2 linked regions of the Styela clava genome follow. The protein of the gene in region 1 binds, or shares a complex with, the protein of each later gene. Links are inferred from orthologs where the notes say so. Each region holds a gene or a part of one and is shown on either strand. Other genes may lie near its edges.

Region 1 (8,984 bases):
TCAATATGTAGTGAAATAGAAAATATACAAAAGCAACATGATGCGTTTACCGTGATTGTGAACACTCAGATCTCAGATCAAGCATGGATCATGGTTAAGTGTTTAAAATGATTTAATTTAGTGCGGAAATACCTTGGTCATAACATAAACCTGAAAATACCATATTATTGTTACATCATGACCAAAGATAGCAGGGCTACCCAACAAATAGGGGTATCGGAACAAAAAGGATAAGCCAACTTATCTTAGACCAAACCATTAAAATATGATTACCAATAGTAATACCAACAACAAGCTCACCTCATAAACACCAAGCACTGGTAATACCAGGTTATTTGGTACCAGCAGGTCTTTACTAGATTCTGGTAATTCAAGAGGGGGACAATCTTCATCCATTTCAATGTCAGAGTAATCTGACAAATGCATTGAGGTGTTTTCTGAATAAAATTTCGACGAATTTTCAAAAAGTATTTATATATAAATGATCCCGACGTCAGGAAACTCGAAAAATCCAGAATGACGGGAATACACTTAAAGTCGATCTTTAACTCACAGGTGTGCAACATTTTTTGTCGGTTGGCCATATAACCAACTTCAGACATCTAGCAGGGCCCGGCATAAAATTCAGTTGACTATGTGGAAAAGATAAGAGAATACTGCTATTACTTAGCATTGGAGTAATAAAGACACCGGGCAGAACGTTGAAAGATTCAACACAGTGATAAAAACAAAAAACATTATGTATTTTTACCCATTCCAAACATAAACTGTCAGATTAGGATTTAATGCTCGATGGGGAAAAATCTGAGTGTTGACAAGGGCCGTCACACTGAACGGCTTGGCGGGCCGGGTTGTGGCTCGCAAGCCGCCTGTTGTGTTAGCTGTATATTTATTGTATTTCTGGCAACTAGCATTCTCTAAGATGGCTGAGCATGACCTGTGACGTCATCGGTCACAGATGACTGATCATGACTTTATCATGGATTTATCAAAGTGATCAGGCAGACCACCTGTTGCACACCCATGTTTTAATTGATCTAACTGATAGTTGCCGATTAGTTTTCACCTTTAATAATCGTCATGGGTAGTAAAAACCTCTTTCCTAATGTATATTAACCTAACGCAATAAGATTAATTTAACACATGGTTATACCCAGTTAAACTGTGTAAAGTATCATTTTCTTGTAATTTGTGCTTTTGACTGGTTGGAAAAAATACTTGATAGAAAATGATCATCTCTTGGTAAAAACCTTTTTCACCATGCCATTTATCTGAGTGACAATTTGGTCAACCACTGACACCTTTAAAATAAAGATTATTCTATTCCCAAGTCAGAATACATCACACCCCCGACACACCCACTTTCTTACCCAATGAGGAGACATCATCTTCTTCTGCTTCATCAAAACTAAAATCATGATCAGAATCATCCGAGTTTAGTCCTTTGCTGTCAACATCTGAGTCTTCAGTGGTGGCCTGAGTCAAAAAAATTAAATTTTCAACAAAAACATGACTCCAAGCACATCAAGTTGATTCACTCTACAGTAAGAGTGAAAACTGTTCGCAATTTAAATTTAACTAGGAGAGTGAACACACCTATGGCACGCCCATTTATTGAGACATGCCCTTACCACACTATTTGTGGCAAAATATTGTCAAAAATATTGTTAATATACAAAATAAGCTGCTAGAATAACGCTACAGCAAAAAATGGTTCTACTCCACCCACATTTTAGGGCACAGCCATAACACACCCATTTTTTTCTAAGCCACGCCTCTGACACACCCACCCTTTCCTACACAGGCGATACATAATCATACATAATAGAGTTGGCACATCTATGCCACGATGTTGTTTAAAGTAAAAATTTTTGTCGATATGTGAAAGGTATGAAGATCAGCCCTCTATAGCGGACACACCTATGTCACACCCAATTGGAGTACAACATTGTCAAAAGAGGAGTAAATTATGTCCAGACTCCTAACACACCAACCTCCTCAGACACCCCAATAATAGGTAAATATGCCTATGTCACACATATTTGCAATTCAACACAGTACACATGCCTCTACCCCACCCACATTTTAGGCCACACCCATATCTTTCTAAGCCACGCCTCTGACACACCCACCTCTTCATCCTCTTCAGGAGACACATAATCAATTTCGAATTCTTCATCTTTCTCCAAAACCATTTTAAATTTTTTCTTCTCATTTTTTGATTCTTTGTCTTTTTTCTTGTTCTTTAATTTTTTGGAAGATTTGCTGAAGTTTGAAAGAAAAATAAACATTATTTGAAAGTTTATTTTTCAAATTTAAATGCGATTACGATCAGGTTAGAGATATGTTTTCTAATCGCACATATATAAATTCAAATGGGATAATTAGACGCAAAACTCCAAGATACACAGAGTGGTTCACATGACAACTGGTCGATTATGAATTTCTTTCCCATCAAATACATCTAGACTCGGGGCCAAAAAATTTGCCCACCTAGGCTAGGGGGCCATGTGAGTGTGACATAAAAAGATACATTTTATGAACAATATTTACAGTGTTACAAAAGTAAAAGTGGAAAACAATGAACCCCGTGCTAAAATTAAACTCAATCGCAAAATAGCTTAAAGTTTTCATTGTTTCACTCTGAACAAGACTCAAGACAAGCAGATACTCGTACATGATGGGGTAATACAATTCTAAAAGATGGAAAACCACATATTCGCTCCCAATGTATTGCACCCACAAGATAGCTCAGATTGTTTGTTTTTTTTACAAAGGTTTTCAGAAGTGTTCTTGTTTTTTATTTGGGGAGGTATATCGGATTATTCTTCCAAATAACTTTGAATATTTTTGTCCAGGTGGATCATTTTGCAGCAAAATATAATGCCCGATATATAAACATTGGGCTCTTTGGTGTCAAAACATATCTCAGACTCAAAACCAATGATCTATACCTCACTCAGGGTGGAATAAACGAGTCGGGCTATTCTAAACACAAAGTAGATACTGACATATTGTTAGCTACTTGTCTAAAGCCTACTTTGGAGCAAAGAGGTTCAAATAAAATTTATTAAGTAGATTTCAAGAATTCAGAATTTTATCTATAAATTATTAAAACGAAAATTGTAGTATGGCATTAATTATGTTCAATTTTAACTGTTTTATATACCCAGAATCCAAATCATTTTGTACTGTAGCCCATAGGCGTATCTACGAATTTTCAAAAGGGGGGGAGGGGGGGGCTCTGGATTTTCTGATTGCCAAGTTAGACAGCATGAGCTAGCAGGTCCGGTCGGAGGCCAGAATAAGCGGCTTTTAATGAATCTTGAGAGTCTGAAAGCTAAAAATGCCTTTTTTACGTTTCAAAAGGATGCTCCCTTCACCCCCTCTGGCTACGCACCTGGTACAGCATGAAAGAGTGTGGGGCTCAAATGTGTTGAGGGGGTTGCGGATTAATTATCTTGGTTTTAAACCCATGCCTACAACCTCGCCACCCTAAATGTAATAAATACCCAATGCCGAACTAGAAAGGTGTCAGCCTTCCCGAAAATATATTCAGTAAATGCTTATACAGGGCCTTATTCGGGGTGAACACATGTTTAAAATGCTGACTCATCAGTTTTTTTACCTGTTTGTTGATAGACTTGAAGGTGTTGATGCTCGACTGCTTCCTGGACTTTTGTTGCTAAAAAATAAATGATAGGTATTAAAAATCAAACAACAACAACTTGAAGCAGAAAGAGTACGAATAATGTTACGAGTGAGTAAGAATGAATAATATTTCTTTGTAAGTTGTGGGAAAAGTTGCCAGACAGAAACCACTGGTTCCCTATACAGAGTGTCCATAAAGTCCCTTCACCATTTTAATTCTGTTATGAAGTCAGTTCTCAATATATCTTAACTATGTTTGTTATTTTTAATCAGTAATTGTTCAGGTATTTTTACTTCATTCAATACATCTGTGAGGGTCAAAACAATACATGGTATCGACAAATTCCCTTTAAAAAATTTCAAGACTTTAAGGACACCCTGTATATATATAAATAAGATCAGATATATTCTATAATGGCATGAATTCGCGATTGATTTGCCGACCAAGCCGATATATAGAATTAAATAAATGTCAAACAAGTCTTTTCGGACAATTATAAAAGCATACTGAAGAACAACTTTTTAAGCACTTTTTTTGAATAGAAATTCGAAACTTCGGCAAATTAAATCGTTTTGCTATACACCAGTTGTGCTTCACTTATTTCCGACATGAATATACTTGGTGACAATCATGCGCTATTTTTAAGCATATTTTTCTCATATTTTCAATGTTGATTTTCAGAATTTAAATTCGCCAACACATTTACCACACAAAGTGTTTAATTAACAACTTTAACTGGGATTGTTAGGTCAATTCCAATTTTTTTACAAACTCTTTATTTTTTTTTAGCGAATTAAAAATTAGGTTATTGCTTTTATAGAACAATATTTAGTGAAATGCAAAAATAATTCAGTCTTCTATCCTGCAGAAACATTTCGACTTCGAACTATACTCCAGAGGGTACATTGCGCAGAATTTTCCTATTATATTTTGAAATTCATTACATATATGGAATTGCCTCTTTATTAATCAAATTGAAATCAAATGTTTTGTGTCTAGTGTTGAACTGCATTTACTGGCAGATAATTCGTCAGCATAATTTTATGAAATTTCAGCCATTGCCATTTGTACCCTGATGTAAATAATTTAGCCGGGTGTATTTATACGACAAAGATTTGAGCAAACTTTTATAAAGGAAGAATAAGAAACAGTATTTGTGAACAATTCATATCATTTTTTAAAGAGACATCTAGACTAGAAGCAAGACCAACTAAAACTATAAAGACTTGGCTATAATAGCTTTATGTTCACGAATATTAAAGGTGTTACGGTAGGCTTCAAGACATTTGTATCAGAAGATACCTGCTGACCTGAGAGAACAGCCAGGACAAACACCAATTGCAAAATTGAGTGAGACAATAGCTTATTGTGCATCAGTACTTATGTCTACAAATGCACACACAGATGAAGCTATTGCTGTATTGCCTTACTACCCAATGCTTCCCTAGCTTTGTTTCAAAGAAGGGTAAAAATAATTAATAAAATTAAATCAACACACAATTGACTTCCGCATTTAGGAAATCCCAAAACCCTTTCAAAAAAAATAGGGGTCTGCAACCCAAACTGTCAAAAAAAAACTTTCCCGCGTCTACGTTGCGTAAATTCGGTTCAAAATGGTTTCCCGGGAAAAGCCGTTTGTAAGACTTGCTCGCCGGGTAAAATTTTCAAAATTTCGACAAAAAGCACGTCCAAGGGTGATCAAAATCACAAGACACGGTTGAGCAAGCACAGTGACATCACACAACAACAATTCTTAATGACCTCACAGTGACGTCATCATTTACCTTGGCAACAACTTTCGGGTTGCCGCAACCCACCCAGGTGAATTTGTCAATTTCTTCAATTCCGCGTTGACTTTTTGATCTCCGGCGAAACAACTAATCCATTCACCCTCTCCGTTTCGTTGCTTTTTCTTAAACATTTTCAATTTCTCCATTTTCCACCCAAAATTATTGAATTAATATCGGTAACTAAGGACAAATCACGTATATTCCATCGCCATTGCGTCACTAGACCGCCGCCATTAAAAAACGTCCAGGCACCTCGCCGTTGAATGTCACGTGATGCGCAAATTAACGATAAGCATACTTGTCGATAGTTCAGCACAGCGCTCCATAATGTAATTTCGCCTAACTCGCGATGTTTTCATCGTATTTTTGAATATGAAATAAAGCTTATTAAATTATTTTGGCAAATATGATCTACATAACAACTGCTTTTAATCATTAATGTTTTTTCTGTTTTGCAGGATCTCAAAAATAAAAAGTGTAAAAAACAGGAAAAACTCAACTGCCCCAAATCGAATATTGTGTTAGCTAAAATGTACCCGATCATGCCTCCGATAATATGAAACGGAAATAATTGATCATAAACGTTGTTAGTGTTCATTAGTTAGAATGAGGAATTATATAGATTTAGTATAAGGCCTGAATCGAGCAAAATAATATATAATTCCACACGCCTGCTCACCAAAATATTAAATTGGTACTATAGATTAAGGCTCGGCAATAAAATTGCCAACTTCTGTTACAATAATGGTTATTGTTGTCGAATTAAAATAACAATTGAATAATGCAGTCTTGATATTGAAAAAAAGCTGAATAGATGCAAGAGAAATCTTCTTAGGCCCAATGTTGTTACTGTAATTCCGAGCGCATTGGTTGTCACCAAGAGCGTAGACAGTCCAATATTGGGGGCGGGGGGGGGGGGGGGGGGGTTGGTTGGTTTAATAGGACGCTCACACTTACTCAGGTCAGCCAGATAAAAGCGGTCACATATATGGTGACAAACAGAAGTGAGAAAAGTTTTTGGACCCGGGGCCATGTAAGTGTGACGTTAAAAATTACATTTTATGAATAATATTTGTGTAATAAAAGTGTAAAATAATGAACCTCGTGACAAAATTGAGTTTAACTTGTTTTTTAACTAAACTTTTGTTTTCAACTAAAACATGAAAATTAGGTTTTAGTTTGGTTGTGAAAGCATCCGCGGGCCATATTGAATTACCAAACGGGCCCGATTTGGCCCTCGGGCCGTAGCTTGTCCATGTCAGCTCTAAAGCCTAAAGCGAATTCGCTGTCGAAGTTATCCAAGGTATACAAAGGCGCAATTTCATCTATCTCGGTTGGTTCATTTAGTAGAGTCTGGAGGAAGGATTATTGGTAGCAACCCAAGAAACGTCCGGTTTTCGGTGAATGTGGGGTTGGAAAAGGCATATAAAATCATGTCTTACAGCAAACCCCGAAAAATTGCATTTGGAAAAAATGTTGAAAAAAAATTTACTTCTGAACCCTTAGCCCCGGCAAGATTCTAATTCTACCAAATATGAAGTAGGCTAGCTCACTACATATCGTTATTGCATAATTAATCGAAGCAAAAAGCGCGAACAATCGACATTTTTGACAAAAATTGACAAAAAGTTGCCAACTCGTCGCTACAAACAAGAGCGTAGCCAGTCCAAGTTTTTTTGCTCAATGACGTAACACTACGCTTACTCGTGCCTTTTGCTCCGAACAAAGCCAGATAGAAGTAGTCACTGATATATACCACTATCTTAAATCTCTCTGCATACTTACTTCGCTGTCGAAGCTATCCGAGGTTTTTAGGCATTCGTTTTCATCTATCTTGTTTGGCGGGAGGATTGTTAATAGCAAGCCAGATTATGTGCGGTTTTCATCAAATCGTTCAAGAATAGAGCAAAATGGTGCTGGAAAAGGCGCATGAATTCATGTCGTACTGCAAATACCGCAAAATTGCATTTAAAAAATATCATGTGACCGCAGCACATACACACGAAAAATACAAAACTGGTGTTTTCTACATGAGCGCAGAAATAAATTCGATGAAATTATTCTCAATGTAAACATGTCTACGACTCTACGAAAGAGGCGGTTTAACGAGGCTTGGTCCACAAATAAAACACACGAATGTATTGAACTTTCGGACTGTGGTACTTCTAAAACACTTAGCTAATAATATTCAATCTGATATCGTGTGGAATGCATTATTCATTTCTTTGACAGACACTGAGACTTTATCATTTACGAAATACTTTTTACAGTCAAGTACGTTTATTTTTTTGCATCATGATGATGTCATAATACATGCATAAGAATGGTTTGCGCAAATATATCTATTACGTCATAAGTAATGAAACTGTAACATGCGCACAAATGCGCGATAGTCTTTGGAGTTTATAAGTTGATGCTGCTACATGCTGATCTATTTGTATTTACCAATACAAACTGTGTTTCTGAAAATCTGAGTATTCATATGTTCATAGCAACGCCTCTAGGTATCTTGACGATAACCCAACGAGACATATTTTAATTTTTTAAAATATAATTTGATCGTACTTAGGAATGGAACGAGATTCGATATCGAATTCCCACATTTTCAAGATTCGGATTCAATACCAGCAGGTTCGCGTATTCTTGCCGAGTCCGTAGTCAATTATTTTTTCACAAATTGAAAAATCCGTTATGTACGTTCACCTTCAAAACGGCGAGTACAGACAATTCAAGATATTTATAATATTTTTACTCAAGGTATCGCAAGCTTCTTTAATCCACACCCTTTCTCGATAACTACCCCACTGACTAATCTACAGCCTACATACCAGTATTTTCCCCAGCTTTTCGTTTGAGATGGGTGTTTCAAAATAAAGGGGTGGTAGATATTTTGTTATTAGTAATAAAATTATTTGTAGCTTATATAAATGTGTTATGTGTTTGACTAATCATCTTCACCGGCATATGAGCCACTTTCTGAATATTCAAATACATTTTTATTTATGTTCAGAATTAAAGTGTGGTGTCATACCTCAACATTAGGGAGGTGTAGGGATATTACTGCTACATACTATAAACTTTTTGAGCCGCGCCCCCTTTTTAGAGTTTGTCAAGTCTCGCACCCCACCTCAAAAATAACTAGATAACAATAAGCTACAAATAACAGATAGTAGAGCGAAACACGTTGAAAATACGTGGATAGAAAGTAAATATCCAAAATGAGGCGGATAAGATCAAATCTAACAAATATATTTTTTAAAATTAGCTTCACGCCCCTTGTGAGGCGCGCCCACTATTTTAGAACCACTGTACTATGGTAATAATGTTATATTTACGTGTATATATGTGTATTAACCATTAAGCAAAACAAGCAAGCGCTGATTGTAGCCGCGCCGAGTTGCTAAATGCACCGGGAAATTTAAATTATTTTATTAAACTTAACCAAATATGATTAAATATTTTATTTATTGTGTTTATACAATACAATTTTATTTCGATCTTTCGTATACAACATAGAGATACAGAGAGAATACAGAGACAGT
Region 2 (8,578 bases), on another chromosome or scaffold:
TATTTGTCCCGGGGGATTAATCTGGCCAAATAGTCTTATAATTCTCAATGCGTGGTGTGAATGTTTCAAAAGCAACATTTTACATTTACCTCACAAGCGTCAGATAACTTGACATGCATTGCTAAATTCTGAAATTCATTAAAACTCACCTCTTGATTTTGAATAAAAGAGATGCAGCTCAAACAAACTGGAGATTTAGATGCTGAATGCGTGCAGAAAAATAACAAGGAAAAAAGTAGCAAGAAAAACAAAGTATCCAAGCCAAAAAAGGAAAAACATAAAAAATGTATAGACAAAAGCACTATCAAAAGTGAAAATGAAGTTTCTGTGGGCCTGGTTGTTACAAAGAAATTAGATACGAAGAAACTAAACATTAAAGTGGAGAAGGTTCATGATAATAAGATGACTGAAACACCTATTGAGAAACCCATCAAAAAGAGGGAAAAAAAGAAATTGAAAGATGTAGAAAATGACATAATGGAAGTGGAAACCAATGCGAATAATAATGAGAAAACTACTACCCTTGATGGTAAAATGACTGAGGCTGAAATTTCCATTAAGAAATCCATCAAAAAGAAAAAAAAAAGTAAAAGAAAGTTAAAAGAAATGGAGAATGGTGTAGAAATTGATATAATTGGAGTCAATAACACAGCCATGGATAGTAACATACCTTATGCTGAAATTGCTATAGAGAAAAAGCCTGTCAAAAAGAAGAAAAAAACAAAAAAGAACTTAAATGAGGGGAATGATATAGGCATCGTTACAACTGAAGTTGAAAAGACTGTTGAAAATAAGAAGAGGAAGAAAAGTAAAAAGATTGTTACTGTCAATGAGAGTTTCAATGACAAGAAAAAGTCAAAATTAAAGGAAACAAAAAACACTTCAACATCTATAACATTAGAAAATACAACAAAACGGAGGAAAAAGAAGAAAAATAAAAAGGACGTAGAAAATACCTCAAGCAACCTAATTATTTTGGGTGTGAATGAAACTCTTGCCAGTAAAACTGGGATGGAAGAGCTGGACAGTAAGAGTACGTCCCCGCAAAATGAATCAAATATATCAGTAAGCGATGAACTGAAAAATAACAAGCGTAAAAGAAAAAGCAGTGCAATCACGCAAGATGATACTTCAGCTGATTTTCCAGTTAAGAAAAAGAAACGGAAAAAAGCTATGCACAAAGAAATAACATCATCTGAAGCATCAGTTGTTGCGAACATGAAAGGTAAGTGATTAAAAATGATTGTTTATTAAGAATATATTTAAGTATTTGTGATATGAAAAAATTCTATCCTGTTGTCAGTGGCAATATAAAATATCCAGTCATTATCATTTTTTAACTAAATAATTTTCAGGAGAATAAGTTTGATAAAACTATTTTAAAATAGATTCATCTTCTGTTGAAAATGATGTGAATCATAAGAAGAAGAAATCAAAATATGGTAAATTGACTAAGTTTTTTTTCAAGTATTTGCCTAACGAACATATAGTGTTAGGCATTTTTAACGTTGGTATACAATAAAATACTTCATTATTTTAGGTCATATTTCTGGAAATGATGTTCTTGACAAACCGAAAAAAGATGGTCAGCACCAAGTATGTATCACATTAGCTTTTCTTGACCTTCTATCTTACAGATATATCTTTGCAAATATCAGAGAAAATTGTGTATCAATATTCATTAAGAAAGCTGCTGTGACAAATCAAAATAATGAAAATGACGACCAATTCTATGTTATTGGCTTGCACTTGGAAACTGCAATACCACTTATAATTATCTTATCCCCATATTATACCACCTTCTCCCTGATAAAAGATGAGAACCTTTAGTTTTCAGACCTAATAATATCAAATGTAAAAATATTGTCATGTCTCTGCAGATTGTCACAGGTGAAGAACATCTAGATACTGATAAGCTTGGACAATGGAAGACGGCCAAACTAGCATCATCTGCTCAGCAGGATAAATTTGCCAGATTACTTGGTTGTGCTAAATCCAAAGATTCAGCAGAAACCTCATTAACTCAAACAAATTGTCAAAGCTTGCTCAGTAAATTAACTGGAGTTTGGAAACCACCACAAGGAAGGAAACTTTGGGGTACATTACAAAACAATAACAAAACATTTTCGACAATGGCCCCAGATGAAAATGAATCTAAAAAACTTGCTAATAACCTTGAGACCCAATATAACCAGACACTTTCATTTAATTTACAAAAAAGAAAAGAGGGCAATGCAGCAAAAGGCTTGGGATTTGAAGAAGATCCAGCAAAAGGGAAAATAAACTACATTGACATTCATAAAATGAAGTCTATAGCATTGGACTAAACTAAGTTAATAATATAAAGGGTGTGTTTGTTCATGAAAAATGTATTTATGAGTGTAGATAAAGCGCCAATACACTGTCCTTTAGGGCAATGGCATCTATACAATATTGTGATAGCATAGTAAGTAAGGTCCATCAAAGCAGTGGCAAAAGGGATGAAATGTAATAGAATCGCGTGTTATGGATCGAAGCAGTGAAAGTGTATCGAATAGTATTCACTCTGATGTGGGCACCTAATACTATACATCTTTTTGCAAACACCCGAGGCTTGTAAGGTCCATCAAAGCAGTGGCAAAAGGGATGAAATGTAATAGAATCGCGTGTTATGGATCGAAGCAGTGAAAGTGTATCGAATAGTATTCACTCTGATGTGGGCACCTAATACTATACATCTTTTTGCAAACACCCGAGGCTTTTATACTATTGGGAAATCATCACGTAAAGACCCAACTATTAGACCAGGGTTTTTGTCTTGACTGGGTGCATTCCAATCAGGTGTTTTTACACACCCTGACAGGAATGTCATGAAACATGTTCGAGCAAGTTAAAAAAAATTTAACTATAAAGAATGGGTTAGGGTTGCACAAGCCTGTGTAAGTCAAGCAGTCGTCCAAAGGTGGTCGAGTTCCGATAGCTTATCAAGGAATAGCAAACTCTTGGATTGCTTTAATTACTTTTATTCAAAACAGAAACACATGTTCCAATTTGTCTACAAGAATCCGACATACAGAAATCAAAAATATAAAGATGAACTTTCGATTTTAACAAATAATATGACAATCACCAAAGCGAGATATCTGTATTTACCAGACTTCGTTTTTCATGAATTGAACAAAAGGTAAAAAGTGCATTGCGTAGATATTGAATTATTTAGCGTGCACCTGGCCTTGTTCTACAACTTCCATAAATTGCTTAATCATAGATAGTAGCAGCAGTTCCACGCAGAAAGTAAATTTCTTTGGCTAATTAAAGTTGACCTTGAAGCAAACTGGTGTAGTACCACTTCTCAGCTTTTTCATCAGTAACCTCTTCTGCTTCGTCAAGTGCCGGTGCAGCTTCTAGGATTTTAGTTGCGGCTTTACCATCAATTTTGAATTTGCTGTCACTGCAGCAAATGTTTTCCATTGCAAAATCACATTTCAAGGTTCCGGAATGACTTTCAACCCAGAACCTATGAGTTTCAGCAATTGTTTCTTCAGCGAATTCACGGTCTTTATAATCTCCATTAAATGCAAAACAGTTCGCTGGTTTTCCATCTGGTATCTTGTAAATTTTAAACCATTCACGAGTGGCATCCAAGTATCCAGGTTTCATCTTCTCAACATCTCCAATTGAATTTATTTTTGGAGCGTCTTCATCGTTAACGTTGATTCCTATCACTTTCCAGTCAGTTTCTCCTTCATCAATCATGGCAAGAACACCAACAACCTTTACTTGAATAACTTCACCACGCTTGCAGATTTTTGATCCAATTTCACAAACATCAATTGGGTCATTGTCACCACACTGACCTGTATTCTTGTCTTTGTGTCCTGGGTTTTCCCAAGTCTGTGGAATTGCTCCATAATTCCAAATATATCCTCTGTGTGGAAAGCAATTAGCAACATATCGGAGTTTCCCCTTTTTCACATCTTGTTTAATTGGATTTAGACTCTCTTTTGTTGCAATTTCCATCTTGCTGTTCGTCCATCTTGGAACCTCACAGACCATATTGTACACTCGTGGGCTTTCCGAAACCAGCCATGGAATGTCATGCAAAGGGGAGATGTATTGCCCCTCGCTGTTTTTATAGTATATTCTATAATCAAGCGTGTTTGGACGCCCTCTTTCTTCAGCGACATAAGACATGATTCTTGATATATTGGGTGAATTATTCGAAATTACTCGGCAAAATCCTCTATGCACGAAAGACAACATAGACCGGTGTACAGTCGTATATTATTATAAAAAGCCTGCTACGCAGATTTACCGTAACTTATGCCTTGACAAACAAAAAGTGATCACCCCGCCCTCCACTAAACAATCAAAGACAATTCCGCGATTTAGAGACGCGGCCGCAACGAAAACGTGGCCGGCGCCGCAAACGGTGTGAATGACTCAATCAAACTTGATGTACCAGTTACTCGAGCAAAGTCCGTGCAGAGCTCAAACTAAACATCTATTGTACATCAGTGTCGTCTGTCGCTCTACGCCAGTGCTCCGCAACCTTTTTTACCTTGCGGCACACTTATAAAACTTACCAAATTCGACGGCACACCACAACAAACAAAAAAAAAAGTGTAACTTTGTATGTTCATATTTCAATGAGAAATTTGTGGTTGTATATAGAGCACAATCGCTCTATATTAGGATCAATACGTGAAAGAGCAACTCGAAGTTCGCCGTCAACATCATTTATGTAGGATCGTTCATCGTTTTTGATCAGTAATAAAAAGGAAAAGCTTTGTTCGCACATATAAGTTATGCAAAAATGGAGCAATACTTCAATAGCTGCATTGGAAATGTGCGCTTATAGTCTTCTTTTTATTGAAATCCAAAACACATCGAGTGGAATTTCACTGAATTTGAGTCTTAACGTTCTGTCATTTCTTACTTCAAAGAAATTTTCTCGAATACGCAGGGGTAATTCTTTTGTTGACATTTCAGCACTAGTTGATAAAGGATTTCGGATCCAGTCGTATCGCTCATTGGTAATTGCGAAAAAGTACCAGTACTTGTCATATCTTTGCTCCATTAGATTTGAGTGCTTTTTCGCCAAATTTCACACGAAACCGTGATTTGTATTTAAGTGGCGCATCAGTTTACTCGGAGCCATTGCCTAATTTGAAAGTTGCTCCCCACAAATAACGCAGACTGAATTTGGAGCATCTCCGTTACCACAGCAAGAAAATCCATAGTTTATGTAATCTTCCCTGTATTTCCTTTTGATAAGTTTTTTTTATAACGTTGCTTGTGCTAGGTACAATATGTTGCTCAGTATCAGATGTTTTGGATGTTCTTTTTAAAAATTTATCCATTTTGCTAAACTTTAACGTTCCTTGACTTTTTTAATCAAAGACCACTATGGGCAATGATTCTGCAAACTCACATTTCAGGTTTATTTATATTCGATTACTACACGCGCTATGTTTTACCCTCGACAATGATTGCAATCTACTTGACATATAGGGGTACTCCTCGTTACGTCACAAATGTATAGTGGGGAAGTCAGGAATTTGATTTGGTGTCGCTCAAGCTAACGTAAAAGCAAGTTCATTTTAGTAGAGAAGTAGACTGACGTAAAATTAACAAAAGATAAAAATAAATTGAAAAAGAAGAGAAAAGTTGCAATTCCTGTGCGGCACACCTGGCATCGTCTCGCGGCACACCGGTTGCGGAACACTACTCTACGGTACAAAAGCATGATGGTGTTTATTCAAAACTTCTCTCTGAAATAGGCCCGAACAAGCAACTTTTGAGATATGAAAAGTATTTATTCGAAATTATATGCTATAAACTGATTTCTGTACAAGCATATACTGAATATTATCCGTGTGTTCCTTCAACACAGTGGTCGGCAACCTTTTTCAAGTGACGGACCGGTAAAGCATGACCAAACATTTGGCGGACCACCTTTATACAAACGAACTAAGCCTATGCAATACATTATACGCATTAGTGAATTTAGGTTGACAATGTACTAAAAACGACGCGATGCTATTTAATGAGATATCTTTATTTGTTTGATGGCCATTAATTGTTCACATATTCGAGATATGGTCGACATGGACGCACGTAACGTGTTTCTTACATCCAGCCTATTTCGTTTTTGTAGTTATCAATATTGAAAACGGTTATGCAATGTAACGTTTATTGCAATGTAAAATTGTAATCTGCAGATATTACAAGACGCTTGCCAATACTTATGGGTCGGCTAACTACTCCTGACATAAGTTCTACAGTTTGTCAAATTAACCTTGAGTTTGCAAAAACGAATACATCTAATGGAAATATTATACAAGAGGATTTCTGGATGGTTATTTGACATCCACTATATAAAAGTACATGCGTCCTGAAAAAGTAACTGGTTAAAAGTCTTATGGTCAGTGGCGTGTCGGGAGGGGGCAAAGGGGAAACCGACCCGAGCAGCACGTTATAGGAGTGAGTTTGTTGCTCAGTTTGATGATTTAAATCAGGGGTGGGGAATCTTTTTTACAGGCGGGCCAAATATCAATAACTGGGTAAACCCGCGGGCCGCACCTTCATTTAACATATGCTTTCTATTAGTTGCAGGCACAAAATAGTGTCTTTTTTGTTATTGATCTCATGTCGTCATCATTAGGGTCCATACAGAAATGATAGGTTGAAACGCATAAATTTCTTAAAACTGTAATTCAAATATATTGTCACACCCAATGTTGACGAATTCAGTGAGAAATTTGCTGCTGGATTCTTTTCCGGACTAGTTTTATCCAAATTTGCTTTAATGGAAGTGCGGGCAATTCGATATGACGCCCATTTTAGAATAAAATATGTAGCCGAAAAGTGCCATATTTGAAGCCATGACTTTTTTCAAATTTGCAAAGTTATCTTGGTTGAGATGTTTTCGGTAAAATACGCCAAGATTCATTTCCAAATAATTTGCTGTTAAATCTTATTCTAGTTTTAGATTTGAACAAAATCAACTGATAAACTGGAAACAAAACTCATTTTGCTTTTGTATCTCTTAATATTAAATTTTTTCAAACTGCTTTCCATTTGCCTAATCTTCAATTGCCCGTTCATACAAATTCATTAGGGTCTTCTCCGCATTTTCCTTTAAATTGTTCGCTGCATCGCGTTGTCTGCTTCGCTGTTTGGACGTTGTAACGTCATAGGCATAGATAATAAATTGGACTCGAATATAGGCTTTGCAACGCAAAGGACACCATATCAAACTAATATAAAAACTAGTTTAGCTGGCCGCACACCATTCAAAATTGGCATTACTCCGCGGGCCGCACAATTTTCCCTCGCGGGCCGCACTTTGCACACCCCTGATTTAAATGATACTATTACAAGCATTTTTCTCTCACTTGGCATTTAAATGATACTATTACAAGCATTTTTCTCTCACTTGGCCTTTAACTTATATATTTATTCTCGTGTATAACAACATCTATAATAATTATTTTTGAAGTTAGGTATAACTAGGCTTACCATACGTCCCGCTTTAGGCGCGACAGTCCCGCTTTTTAGCGTCTTGTCCCGCCGTCCCGACAAGTCAACCAAAAGTCCCGCTTTTGCGTTCTGCCATCCAGCATAATACACGAACATGTTCTCGTTACTGTTGTTGCCGTGTAGCGCAACGCTAGTCTACTTACTGAAGGTGAATGCGTTATTTTATTTGTTCCGTTATGTTAGCGAACGTATCACATGTAAAATCAATTCCAATTGGTCCTGTTCGAACGTTCACGTGAATATAACATTGAGCAACGTCTTCTTGAGAAAGTGTTATCTACAGAAAAGCATGCTTAGTGAATAAGTAAATTCCCAATGCTTGAAAACGGCAGACTATTTCATTATGCTTTATTCCTTTTGCTGTACATAGAAAAATCTAAATTCGGATCATTTGTATCGTTAGCGTCTAATCCTTTCTATTTTTCGAACTGAATCCGATATAGAATATGCGCATGAATTCTCGATGACAATATGGTCAATGAAGACAGCCGGGATGGCCTTAAAATGTAGGCCTATGTAGTAAAATCGGAAACTGTAAAGTTACAGGATCACAGCTAAGAGGTCGTGTCTTTGGAGGCGTCCCGCTTTGAAGTCCAAAAAATATGGTAACCCGAGGTATAACTTTTAAGGGGCAGCATTATCAGAATCTCGCCCCGAGTAGCGCGAAAGTTTGACACACCACTGCTTATGTTCGACATGGACTGGTAACCAGATGGGGAAACGTAGGCCTTTATCAGATAAAGTCTTCTCATTACCCTTTCTTTCGACCTGATATGAAAATCCGTTCTAAGCTGTCGACTAAAAACATGGTGGAATGTTTTCTGAGATATGAGAGGTGGATTTGTCATGGTTGTGAAACTTGTTGCCACATCAGAAAAGTGTTCATTAAACTTCTATCAATTTGTGCTACTACATTGCAGTTCAACTGACAGACATAAACTAGTCTAAATTCTGCAAATTGTATTTTACCCTGCCCTAATTTGATTTTTTGAAAAGCAAGTGCAGACGTGTATTAATTTTCTTCTTACTGAGTAGTCCAGCGTACAGTTTCAAT

The links.
Region 2: nucleosome-remodeling factor subunit BPTF-like (region 1) and inorganic pyrophosphatase-like share a complex: the UniProt entries of both Drosophila melanogaster proteins name them as parts of the NURF complex. The link is inferred for Styela clava from reciprocal best matches to the Drosophila melanogaster genes E(bx) and Nurf-38.

What each region holds. Positions count from the first base shown.
Region 1 is NC_135262.1:1,332,067-1,341,050, forward strand, and holds the start of nucleosome-remodeling factor subunit BPTF-like, read right to left. Parts: upstream 5,696-8,984; 5' UTR 5,589-5,695; coding exon 5,437-5,588; intron 3,686-5,436; coding exon 3,629-3,685; intron 2,266-3,628; coding exon 2,133-2,265; intron 1,477-2,132; coding exon 1,371-1,476; intron 438-1,370; coding exon 301-437; intron 1-300. UniProt on the Drosophila melanogaster protein: Histone-binding component of NURF (nucleosome remodeling factor), a complex which catalyzes ATP-dependent nucleosome sliding and facilitates transcription of chromatin.
Region 2 is NC_135256.1:11,804,561-11,813,138, reverse strand, and holds inorganic pyrophosphatase-like, read right to left. Parts: upstream 4,437-8,578; 5' UTR 4,243-4,436; coding exon 3,292-4,242; 3' UTR 2,987-3,291; downstream 1-2,986. Other genes in the region: uncharacterized protein LOC120327500, read left to right, coding at 172-1,225, 1,389-1,442, 1,541-1,596, 1,881-2,327. UniProt on the Drosophila melanogaster protein: Component of NURF (nucleosome remodeling factor), a complex which catalyzes ATP-dependent nucleosome sliding and facilitates transcription of chromatin.